Linked DNA regions of Mus musculus: all the other regions are reported to be linked to region 3. The links are microRNA targets in miRTarBase. Many come from high-throughput screens and were not tested one by one. Region 3 holds a microRNA gene; each other region holds the end of a gene's coding sequence.

Evidence for each region. The annotated mature microRNA mmu-miR-1b-5p reads UACAUACUUCUUUACAUUCCA and lies in region 3 at 2,069-2,089, opposite strand. An mRNA with a match to its seed (bases 2 to 7 or 8) in the 3' UTR can be bound and repressed. Matches are read on the target gene's strand: a 7mer-m8 pairs with bases 2 to 8, a 7mer-A1 pairs with bases 2 to 7 and ends in A, and an 8mer does both.
Region 1: the mRNA of Zfp462 is a reported target of mmu-miR-1b-5p. Seed matches in the 3' UTR shown: 8mer at 398-405 and 7mer-A1 at 1,265-1,271.
Region 2: miRTarBase lists Tas1r3 as a target of mmu-miR-1b-5p. Seed matches in the 3' UTR shown: 7mer-A1 at 1,024-1,030, 7mer-A1 at 1,032-1,038, 7mer-A1 at 1,036-1,042 and 7mer-A1 at 1,040-1,046.
Region 4: the mRNA of Psd3 is a reported target of mmu-miR-1b-5p. The part of its 3' UTR that is shown has no 7-base or 8-base seed match.

Annotation. Positions count from the first base shown.
Region 1 is chr4:55,080,644-55,083,643 of GRCm38, forward strand. It overlaps Zfp462 (zinc finger protein 462), which reads left to right. Exons shown (of 13, transcript NM_172867.3): 13 at 23-2,920. The coding sequence ends at 230. Among named protein-coding and RNA genes, the nearest start is that of Gm42289, 13 kb to the left of the region's middle.
Region 2 is chr4:155,857,617-155,860,742 of GRCm38, reverse strand. Tas1r3 (taste receptor, type 1, member 3) reads left to right here. Exons shown (of 6, transcript NM_031872.2): 6 at 1-1,475. The coding sequence ends at 557. It overlaps Dvl1 (dishevelled segment polarity protein 1), which reads right to left. Exons shown (of 15, transcript NM_010091.5): 15 at 1,440-2,750. The coding sequence ends at 2,377. Among named protein-coding and RNA genes, the nearest start is that of Tas1r3, 4.2 kb to the left of the region's middle.
Region 3 is chr18:10,784,449-10,787,574 of GRCm38, reverse strand. Mir1b (microRNA 1b) reads right to left here and starts at 2,129; the gene lies at 2,008-2,129. The region is part of intron 12 of Mib1 (mindbomb E3 ubiquitin protein ligase 1); the gene reads right to left. Mir133a-1hg (a long non-coding RNA gene) reads left to right here. Exons shown (of 3, transcript XR_877177.3): 1 at 1-145; 2 at 1,694-1,869. It overlaps Mir1a-2 (microRNA 1a-2), which reads left to right and starts at 2,023; the gene lies at 2,023-2,094.
Region 4 is chr8:67,694,174-67,697,299 of GRCm38, forward strand. It overlaps Psd3 (pleckstrin and Sec7 domain containing 3), which reads right to left. Exons shown (of 16, transcript NM_177698.4): 16 at 1-3,014. The coding sequence ends at 2,799. Among named protein-coding and RNA genes, the nearest start is that of Gm32888, 170 kb to the right of the region's middle.

The DNA.
Region 1 (3,000 bases), not on the chromosome of region 3:
GTCTGCTGGTTTGCTTTTCCAGGTCATTGCATGATACCAACCAAGTGAGCAGGAACGAAATCCATACAAAGGAGATGGTGGAGGAGAGTATGCAGCTGCCCTCCATAGAGGCCAAGGAAGACGATGAGCCAATTGGGATAGACTTTCCCTTAAAGAGCGAAACAGTAACCATCTGTGTAGTGGCTGCCGACAAATCTCTCCTGGAGGATGCAGAGGCCAAAAACGAATAAGAGTTTGGTGAAATTCTTATCAAACCTTACTTGAACCGTGATGAAAATGTGGGCGGGCCGGCGTGGGCTGAGAAGGGAGGGGACAGACAGAGGAGAGAAGAAGACAGAACAAAGCTGCTTTTAGGACTGAACAATCTATTTTCAAAGCACTGGTACCTGTGTGAGTGAGTATGTAAATTAAAGTTATTTAAATGGTTGGAATATGTGGCTCCTTTCCTGTCACGACATCCTTCCTTCCGGATCTTCACCACGGAGATTTTCATCTGCTGCGGTTTGGGAAGTACCTCCCGTGGGCACGGTGGTCTCCGTGACCCTCTCGGACAGTGTGTGGAAACCGAGGCTCCCGGACACAGAAGACTTCTCCTAGGGGAACAACTTTTGGGCGCACAACTTTCTGTGCGTTTTTCTAGTTTTAATACCTTAAGCTTTTTCAAGACCTAACTGCAGCCGCTTTGGGAGAAAAAAAAATAACAAAACAGAAAACAAACAAAAAAAAACTGCTTTGCATAAAACAGTCACCTGTTTCCTAGTACCTCAGACTTAACCAAGGGAATTCTCTGCATTTGTCTGTACTACCTGTGGCCCTTGTGGTTAAATGTAGAGAGAACTGCTGGACAGGATGGTGAATGGAGAAAAAAAAAGAGTTTTAAAGAAAGGAACACAAATTGTGCTTAAAATCCCCACGTGGGTTTTATTTCTTAAAATACTGTGATTTTTTTAATTATTTTAGTAAAAAACAAAACAAAAAAAAAAGAAACAGACTTTAATTACTAGATAACTGTGTGTGAATTGTCATCTTGTATTCCAGGTAAGCTGTTTATTAGTGTTCAGCTATAATTTAGAATTTGGTAGGTTCATGTGAACTAATTTTATGGTGATCGTGGGATTTCGTTGGCCACATGTTTATTTTTTTCTCGATTTGAGTGTTACAAACACAGCACAAATTCAGTTGTTCTTTCTTCATATGAGTTGTTCTCTGTGTGTTTGTTTAATTTGAGGTCAAGGGAGAGTTAGAGGGTGTAGGGTGTGTGTGTGTATGTATGTGTGTGTGTGTGAATTTTTATAATTTTAAACATGAACATAACAAAGAGGTTAACTTCCTTTTAAATTTGTTTTTGTGTTTGTTTGCTTTTTAATTTAACTAAAGAACCAAACTCCGAGCACAGCTATGCAGTGGGGGGGGCCAGACAAGGAGGTCCCGTCACCCTTTTGGGTTTGTTTGTTTTTTTTTTTTCTCAAAGCAACACATTTCGTCTCCCCAACGATTTCTGTTACATTGGGCTGGCCTTCGTGTGTGCTGTGAACTCTGTTTTGTTTGCTTTGTGTATTGTGAGGCTGTCTCATTTCTTTGGGGAGCCATCCCTTCCGTGAGCTTGGACAGGAGATGCCGCATCCTGCAGGGAGCCTGGAAAAGTGCTTTGTCTGCGCATCTAGCTGCTCTGTTTCCCCACAGTGGCTTCGTTTATTTTATTTTATTTTTTTCCAAGAGCAGCTTAGACTGAAAGCAAGTCTACATTTATAGCACATTATGATTGTGAAAATGGGGTTTTGTTCCAAAAAGTGGAAAGGAACATTCTTGAAGCTTAGGGGCGTGTGTGTGTGGGTGGGTGGGTGTGTGCGCGTGCGCACATACGTGTGCTGGTGTTTGGATGTATGTGTGTGGGCAAATATGAGTCCTAGGTTTTGTTTCTTTTGTTGTCCTTGTTTGGGTTTTTGTTTGTTTGTTTTTTTTAACTTGGAAGGGTTGATGGGGTGGGGGGCGGGCCAGAAGGGAAAGAGGGTAAACTGAGGTGTCAGTGTCCCACACAGCTTCAGAGAAAATCCATGGAAAGATATCGCATTTGTGAAGTAAGTACGTACTTGAAAAGCATGATCTTGGTTTTGCTTTGTTTTTATTTTTTATTTTTGTTTTTATTTTTGATTTTTAGTTTTTGCTATTAAGAATTTTTATTTGTAGGATGTTTAATTTAATTTTGTTTTTAGGGATGGGGCCGTCATGTGGAAACCAGAACAGGGGGAAGTGTGAAATATCTAGACAGATTCTTCTGTGTCCTTACTCGCTTTTGATTGGCCTCATTTCAAATGTACTAAACAGTTTCATACCTGGACTGGATGTCTGTGATGGTTACCAAAAACAAACAAAACAACGAAAGGAAAAGAGAAAATAATTGTGACATGCTTCTATCACTACTTTATTTTTCAAATAACATGTAAATATTGTAATCCATTGGATTTTGTTTTGCTAACCTGATAATAAAAATATGGGACCATTATCCTTTTAACAAGGCTAGGATGTCATTTTTTTGTTTTATTTTTCAAACATATACCTGATATTTTGTGGCCGCACATTTTGGACGCATTCTGTTTTCTGTTGACTGTAATGACATAGAATTTACAAAATTTTTTGTTGTTGTTGTTTAATTTATACAGAGGACATTTTTTTTTCCAGAGCTTGAGAGAAGAAAATAAATAGCAAAATGATAACCTATTGACTCCAATAATCAGTGTTTCCTGAAACTTGATGAAAGATAGGGGGATCCTGACTCCTTGAAGCCAAGGGTTTAAACACAAAAAAAATAAAATAAAAAAATAAATAAAAATAAAAAACACAAGTAGGTTATTCAAGTTGTTTGCAACATACATTTTGTAATGAGATGTGAGAAATTAATAAAGAATTTTTTTCACATGTATTTATGTGCATCTGTTAAGTTATTTGTGGGTGTGATTACAGACAGGAAGACTGGCAATGACAAGACCAGTTTCACCCTAT
Region 2 (3,126 bases), not on the chromosome of region 3:
CAAACTGGCTATGCAGCTACCTTCGGGGACTCTGGGCCTGGCTAGTGGTACTGTTGGCCACTTTTGTGGAGGCAGCACTATGTGCCTGGTATTTGATCGCTTTCCCACCAGAGGTGGTGACAGACTGGTCAGTGCTGCCCACAGAGGTACTGGAGCACTGCCACGTGCGTTCCTGGGTCAGCCTGGGCTTGGTGCACATCACCAATGCAATGTTAGCTTTCCTCTGCTTTCTGGGCACTTTCCTGGTACAGAGCCAGCCTGGCCGCTACAACCGTGCCCGTGGTCTCACCTTCGCCATGCTAGCTTATTTCATCACCTGGGTCTCTTTTGTGCCCCTCCTGGCCAATGTGCAGGTGGCCTACCAGCCAGCTGTGCAGATGGGTGCTATCCTAGTCTGTGCCCTGGGCATCCTGGTCACCTTCCACCTGCCCAAGTGCTATGTGCTTCTTTGGCTGCCAAAGCTCAACACCCAGGAGTTCTTCCTGGGAAGGAATGCCAAGAAAGCAGCAGATGAGAACAGTGGCGGTGGTGAGGCAGCTCAGGGACACAATGAATGACCACTGACCCGTGACCTTCCCTTTAGGGAACCTAGCCCTACCAGAAATCTCCTAAGCCAACAAGCCCCGAATAGTACCTCAGCCTGAGACGTGAGACACTTAACTATAGACTTGGACTCCACTGACCTTAGCCTCACAGTGACCCCTTCCCCAAACCCCCAAGGCCTGCAGTGCACAAGATGGACCCTATGAGCCCACCTATCCTTTCAAAGCAAGATTATCCTTGATCCTATTATGCCCACCTAAGGCCTGCCCAGGTGACCCACAAAAGGTTCTTTGGGACTTCATAGCCATACTTTGAATTCAGAAATTCCCCAGGCAGACCATGGGAGACCAGAAGGTACTGCTTGCCTGAACATGCCCAGCCCTGAGCCCTCACTCAGCACCCTGTCCAGGCGTCCCAGGAATAGAAGGCTGGGCATGTATGTGTGTGTGTGTGTGTGTGTGTGTGTGTGTGTGTGTGTGTGTATGTACGTATGTATGTATGTATCAGGACAGAACAAGAAAGACATCAGGCAGAGGACACTCAGGAGGTAGGCAACATCCAGCCTTCTCCATCCCTAGCTGAGCCCTAGCCTGTAGGAGAGAACCAGGTCGCCGCCAGCACCTTGGACAGATCACACACAGGGTGCGGGTCAGCACCACGGCCAGCGCCAGCCACGCGGGACCCCTGGAATCAGCTTCTAGTACCAAGGACAGAAAAGTTGCCGCAAGGCCCCTTACTGGCCAGCACCAGGGACAGAGCCACATGCCTAAGCGGCAAGGGACAAGAGCATCGTCCATCTGCAGGCAGGATCAGACCCGGGTCAGTTCTGGACTGGCCCCCACACCTGAATCCCGGAGCAGCTCAGCTGGAGAAAAGAGAAACAAGCCACACATCAGTCCCATAAAATTAAACGCTTTTTTTAGTGTTTAAAATAGCATTTACACAGAAGCAGCATTTACACAGAAGCAGCTCTATGTCAACTACCCAGTCACTCAGACTTTGACACAGTGTCTAGTGTAGATGTGTGGGGCCGCTGTGCCGGGATGGCAGTGGCACATGATGATGGGCAGCCACCAGAACAGAAACAGAACAGGGCCCAGCTCTGCAGCTCTTGTGTTCACTGTCACCCACCACTGAGACTGAGACAGTGGCTAGGTGCCAGGTCTCTCTCCTGTCTCTCCTACTAGCTACCCTTCACATACCTTCAGTACAAACTGTGTTGTCATGTGCCAAGTAGCAGGTGGGGAAAGGGGCATGCAAACTGCCCCTTTGGGTAACTAGCTGCCACCCTTAGAGCAGGCAGGCTAGCAATAAATAAATAAGTTAGACCCCACCTGGGCAGCCAGAGAGGTTTGAAGGCTCTGTCTAACCCCTCAAAAATCCCACCTTGGCCTGACAGGTGAGGCCCATGAACTTAGCGACAGTCAGCCTGTGTCCCTGTGCACAGTTCTGTGAGGCTTTGGGGCAAGGGGTACCAAGAGCCCAAGAGAGCCTTTCTTGTTCTAAATGGAGGTCACTTCCAAAGAAGGGAACCAGGAGGTGGTCCCTGAGACTTGTGCTGAGGACTTAAAGTCAGAGATGTCTCCTTACAAGACTCTATAGATACTTGAGCTGTACCACCATCAGCAGCCCCAAGAGCAGACAAAATGTCAAGCCAATATCCTGGTGGTATGGCTGCCCTCAGGCCCTCCTCTGTAGCCTGCTCCCTCTGCCCTGGCCCAGAGCCCACAGCTGATCTATCCTGGCTGGCCACCACCACGGCCAGCGCAGAGCTCCTGGCACAGCAGGAGCACAGACTCAGCCACAGGCAGCGCTGAAGACATTGGTTGATCATCACATGATGTCCACAAAGAACTCACAGGGGTTTCCCATGGCCTTTTGGAAGGACTGGCGGCTACCTGTAAGTTCTGGAGGGACAGCAGCCAGCTCCCGGACGGGTGGCCCTCCAGGTGGCCCACCCACTACTGCATAGGCCTTTGTAAGGGGGTGCAGTGGGGGGAGCCCTGGGGCAACAGCTGAAGCCTGACTTCGAGGGCTACTGCCACGGCTAAGCTGGCTGACAGGCCGCTCCCACCAGCCGGTGCTACCAGACCCACTTGGTACTGTGTGGTCTGATTCACTGCCACTACCCCCAGCTCCAGTTGCCCGGCGCTCCTCTCGGCCTGGGGTCCGATGGCTGCTCCGTGTGGACCCACTGCTCTTGCTCCCTAGGGGGAGGGAAGGGGACAACAGAGTCAGCACGAGGCCTGGCCACTTCCAGGGCCACCAGCTGCTCCCAGACAGTCAGGGCAGGACCTGGTAAGCCTGGAGATGGTAGGGGAATGGCAGCCATGCAGATACCAGGAACAGCTGAGAGGCGAGAAGCTAGGGGCAGTGGCAGACAGCAGGGACAACAGGGGCCAGCCTGGCACCCCACACCTAACCCCAATGCTTGAACCAAGGGTTAATGTTACAGCTGAGAAACTAAAAACCAGCGAAGGCCCTGTGTGCCCAGCATTCCCATTAGCCATCCTGGGTTCACCACCCAAAGACCCAACCAGGGTCCACCCAACCCCAGGACCCTGGTCATCTAATTTGCTTAGC
Region 3 (3,126 bases):
CTGGAAACTCAAACTCCTGCTCCTCCAAAAGAATCCCAAAGCAAGAAAGATGCAGAATATTTCCTGAGGCACCAGAAGAACCCAGTATGGTCTGGTGGGCACAGGAAACTGGGTGAATGCTTGCAGCTAATTGGGAGAATGTGAGGTGTGTTTAGGGTTTTGCTTGCAGTGGTTTTTTGTTTGTTTGTTTGTTTTTTTAAATCTTAGATTACAAAATTAACATCCTCTGCAACTTTTCCCCTCTTGTAAATCATTTCATCTAACAAAAACCCTAGGTACATTCTCTTTGCCACTGTAGCAACCTTCCCATTACTTAACTTTCTCTACATATCGATATAATTGATATATTACATTCTAAATTATATGACTAATGTTGATTCAATTTGAGAGAGAGAGAGAGAGATTGCATGCCTGCATGCACATCTGTGTATATGTGTCTTTCTATGTCTATGAGAAGAGCAAGGGAAAAAGGTAAAATTACGTTGTTTTTGTATATTTAACTTGTCTTTCAAATGTATCTTACAAGGTAAGGTTCTGTGTTCACTTACACTGGGTGCTTACCTCACCCAGCTTATAAAACCAGTGCTGAAACAGCAGCAGTGTGAAAGAACGGTCATGATGTGGTGACTGCAATGTTACTGTAGGTCACTACATCTCTTCCCTGTAAGTGGGGCAGGACACTAAGCTCACAGGTAAATCAAGCACAAGAACCAACTTGGAAGGACGCTTCTGACTTTCTGCATGCTTATCTAATATTGACTGATATATATTCTCATTGTTAAATTAATTTATATCTGGGCATAGGCTAATTTCAAAGCTCAAATTAATAATTTAGTTTTAAAAATGCCATTGTTCAAACAGCATGCCAGATAACTTCAAAAATATACAATCTACCACTAACATTACATCACTACAGACAGGGTCTTTATTGTTTTCAATTAAACAGTTGTTTCAATTGTGTCTCGCTCCTCTAGTAAACCTGCATCCCTGCCTCCAGAGCACAATAGCTTCTAAAGGCTACTTCAAGATTTGGGTTATGAAATGTCTCCCCTTGCTTACTACTCAGGCCACAGACATCCGCATGCTGCTGCACGGTGCAGGTCTCAGCGGCACTGCTGACTGAGGCCCGCGTTGGCAGCTTACTAGCTTTCTTCATGGACTGCAGAAATCCTATTCCCCCACTTCCCTCCCAGCACCCCCTTTTCTATTCTTTACCAAATCTCAAAGCTTCTCAATGTCTCCTTTTGAATTAACCTTCAAAATGTCTTAGTGACTATAGGCCACTCCCAAATTATTTTTTTTTTCTTGTGCTAAATATTCAAGGTAAAACCCAGAGATTCACAGACTAAAGTGCTTCTCCTCTTTTATGGAGACTTTGGAAAAGTTATTTTAGTACTTTTCCATTATATTAAAAACCATTTTTAAAAAGTAATCTCATACAAACCAAGCACGTAACTATTTGAATTTGCATTCAATGCAAACAGAAACAGAACAAAAACTTGGCTAAATGATTTGTAATCTGTTACCTTGAAAATAAATTTCCATTTAAAAACATTAATTCACTCACACAATGAAATGATCCAATTTCAAAGCCTGTGCTAACTGTAACTTGTTTCTCCCAATAAGTTTTAAGTAGAAGTATCTGGTTTATAAAAACAATTTAGACTAAATTGATTATCATCTGTCTGTAAAGGATCTAGAAGCAAATTATAAAGAAGAGGGAGGCACGACGGAGAGAGCAGCAAGCGTGCTAACATTTCTGAATACACTTAAGACTCTGCTGACTGCATCTCTTGGAAAAGAAGCAGCAGGGCAAAGCATGGCAGTGCTTAAAAGAACCACAAGCAGAAGTGGCATTGATGGGATCAGGTAAATCTGTTGTAAAATTCAGTCTCTGATAAGCTAATCTCCGCACTGGATCCATTACTCTTCCAGAAAAGTAATCCAAATGTCCTACTAACAGCTGGGTGAGGTGGGCTGCTTCATGTTTTCACAGCTATCGGCCGGCGCAGGAGTGCCTACTCAGAGCACATACTTCTTTATGTACCCATATGAACATTCAGTGCTATGGAATGTAAAGAAGTATGTATTTTGGGTAGGTAATGTCCGCCAAGAAGAAGCTAAAGGAAACTTTCCAGGAGGATGACTTCCATACTCTGAATTCACCTGTAATACTAACAGCCCCATTCCAAAAGGACCAGCCATTCACTGGGAAAACTAACATCCCTTATACTGTACTGAAGAGATAAGTCCCGTGGAAGTGGATTTTAATTTTCACATTAAATCATACTACACTCTACACTGAATACTCACGTGATTAAAATGTGACTACTACAGAGGAAATAGTATTGCTAGCGCAAAACAGTGAGACACAGGATCAACCATTATCTGTCTTCACAATTGGATATTTTAGTGTCTCACATCTATCAAATCAGGACCAACAAATCTAATAAGAAAAATAAAGCAACAAAAAGCTGATTTTACTCATATAATAGCTATTCTTCACATGTGGCAAAATGTATAACCTATTAAAATCAGAGGATCTCGTAAGCCAAAAATTTTGGTTTCATTATTTTCTTTTCTGACAGCTATTGAAACTATAATGTTTAAAGACTATCTTTTAAGTAAAATTATACTGCACACATGAAAACTGGCTTTTGTCCTTTTCCAGCTTGTCAGTTCTTAACCCAATCTGTACTTTAAGTGCAGTTAATACTTACAGCATGAAAAAGAATGATAAAAATGGCAAAACCCTAGGCCACAACTAAAATGTAAACAGGATATATTGGCAACAAACTGTCAAAAACCTGAGTCTGTATTGTCCTTGCTTATATCAAATGACATTGTTTTTCTCACAATGAGTTATGAACAGCTACATTAGTTATTCCACAGGTCTGAAAGGTTTTCATAATTCTTTAAGAAACATTTTCACAACTAATAATTTGTTACAATCCTTAGAGAATATTAGCTATTCATTTATAAAATAAAACTGAAAACTGATTTTGTTGCTTCCAAGTTCAGCTTTTGTCTAGGAGTGTTTTGAATCACTTGAAATGTCACATCCAGCACTTAGATCAGCTGTCCCTTTTGAAGTGAGTACATGTTAAACTCTGGGCATCTGCTGAC
Region 4 (3,126 bases), not on the chromosome of region 3:
TTTTAGAAGCTAGCATGTGGGGGTAGGGGTGAAGCCCAAGATACACACAGATTTTATACAAGGGGTACTTCAATGGTCAGTTTTTCAACAAGACTATCATCAAAGTCTTTTGATGTCTTGTTCATATTTTCAATACTAAGAACCATCCTTTAAGGTATTAATGTAAGATAAATAATGCTTTATCATATGGAGAGGAATTCCAAGACTCCAGGGCACCGAGGTAGGGATGACAGTAGGTATAGGAGGGACAGGATGAAGTACCATGGAAAGGAAAGGGACAAGAGCTCCCGGTACCGTGTACTGGGCAACAGGCTTAGCAGAGCTGTTCAATGGACCACCTTCCATTTCTTAGGAATCAATACTGTGGGAGAAATGGGGCTGACTATGGGCCAGACTCTTAGAGTCCCATCAGATCTGAGAATGCAGCATCCTTCCAGAGGCCTCAGGGAAGACACATTTTTAGCCTATCCCCAAAGGTAGACAGCATTACACTAGGGCAGGCTGGGATTCTGACTCACAAAAGACTGCTTCAGTTATTTTTCAAGATAAATGATGTAGACAGAGTAGTCCACAGCTTTAAAAGTGCCTTTGTGATCTGATTATCTATAAGCATGTCCAGAAGCTCTAGAGCCAACACTAGTGAGTCCTGTAACAGGAACAGTGGCAGAGCTAATGCTAAGGGTAGTCCTAGACAATTCTCCATGTCAGAAACTCTGCAGCAAGGTACCATTCAATGTATATTAGATACTCTACATAAGTACACACAAACATTCTATACATATAGCACACACTGTGGACAAACACATTTAGACATGTTAACTGTTCAGCTACTGATGCTCTAAGATGATGCTCAAGACTCCAAGGTCTTGGTACCTTTCCCTTCAGGGATTACAAATACTTAGGCAAAAAGCAGACAGTGATAGTTCACCTTCTAGAAGAAAGGCAACTTGCTTGGGGAATATTGGATTCACTAGGATGCTATGAAATAGTTCAGGTATATGGAGCCACAATGTTAACTATCATATTCGCTTCATGGTTCTGAGATATAAATTAAATCACTGCCTTTACTTAAACAAGATAGAAGTTTAGGGAAGTTTTTCCAATAGTGTGGCAAAATACCATGAAGCAAGCAGCTACCGTATTGGAGAGAAGTGTTACTATTCCGGGGCACAAGCAAGGTGGGCATGTACAGAGGTGAAAGAAGTACAGGCTAACACACAGTCCTGTGACTAAATGCTAGTACATCCTAACGAGATGTCTCTATAAACTACCGGGATTTTTTAACAGGCTTACTCTAACTTACTAGAATCATGCTATTCATGCAAGAGCAGCTGATTCTCTGGTCATAGTACCTTCAACTAACCAAGTCGAAATAGAGGAAATATTTAAGGAGAATAAAGAATATCTAAATGTCATCCTGTTAGTTTTTGAAGATATTTTGATGGGAAGATAGTAGTTTTAGAGAATACAGTTTCAAGGCTGGAAACTGGACAGTTTTCAGCCACAGAGGAAGTTCACCTTTTACGCCTTTTTCTTCCTCTACAGACAATACTCTACTTAATACTTTAAATTGTAAAGGGACTGCTTTGACTGTAAAGTGAAACCATTTTGAATGCAGGAAAAAAATAAGATTAAATGTATACAAGTAATTCCAGGAGCAATCTTAATAGTGGCATAGCAAGACCGCTGTAGAGGTGGAGATGAGAATAAGCTAAGACGCTGCTCATACATCAGACCCCTCCATCCTCGGTCACTGTGATCAGACTGATTTCATAGCCCGTCTGATGGCCTGATCTTGATGAAGAACTGCATCTGTGTTGCTCCTTATTTGTCTTGATATAGAAAAGAAAGAGAAGAGTATGTGTGGGGGAAGGTGGTATTCATTTCCAACATTGTTTTGTTTCAACCAGGACATGATCTATGCCTGTACATCTATGTTAAATGAATCTATTCCTGGATGGAAAGGTATCAATCACAGAGATGATTTTGATTCCTAGTCTAGATTCCATGGGAGTGAGGTAACATTTCTATAGAAGACCATACATCCTACTGCTACAGTTCCAAAGAGCTGATTACTGCCACCAGCCTTTAGAAAACAAAAGTGGCTCGGGATCAAGCCATCCTCAGGCTCCCTTCAAGCAAGATGACTCCACTTCTGAATTCCCTTGCATGGCTGGAATGGAATGCACACCTGAGACAAACTCCTGTGCCTCCCTAAGGTCTCCAGTCCTGTCATCCTCGTGCTCCCTTTTGTCCTGTGTCCAGCACCAACAACAGGTGCCAGGAAGAACGCAGAAGTGTCCTATCTTGGGACACCTCGACTCCCAGCGCTGCCATTTTCATGTGAGCAACTATGAACTTTCAACTTCACCTCCGTGACTGGGCAGGATTTCACATGTAAAGTCTAGGATTTACTAAAAGCACAATGCTTGTCCAGTTATGGGTTTCACAATGGATTAAAAATTTAAACCTAAAAAAAAATACAACAACTGATTGGTAATACACAAAATAACTGTATAGAAGTGCAAATAAGAGAAAGCCGAAGAGAAAGGATCTGTAGCCCTCCTCCTCCTCCTCACAAAAGGTGCATTAGTTATAAAGTTGTCCAAATCATCAAAGCAAAGGAACTCAAGAGCAAAGACACCTGTACAGAAACTAACAAAAATATATAATAGAAAAGGTTACTAATGCACCGTTTAGTCACAGACTGTTTTTTAAATATATTCACGGATTACCAGAAAGATCTTGAAAAACCCTATTTTGTTCCATGACCAGCACCTCCTGGCCGCGGATGGATTCTAAGTAACTTTTTGCTTAATGCCCGGTGTTTCAGGTCGGTGGTCTTTTCTCTCTGACACGTTGCGCTTGACCTTGGCAGTGACTGGAGATGCATCTGGGTTGAGGGAGGGACTTGAGTGTGACTTCTTCAGTCCCACGGGCTCATTTCCATCGGTAGTCAGGAGCTCTTTGCCTCCTTCTTTCAGAACGCTGACATAAATCTCATAACGGGTTTTCTAAAGGCAAAATCAGAGAAGTGTGGTCAGTACAGTTTACAATTACATGTGTGTAGCACACCTAGCATGTTCTTACACATGACATCATACGTTTTTGAATATTTGACTTTAT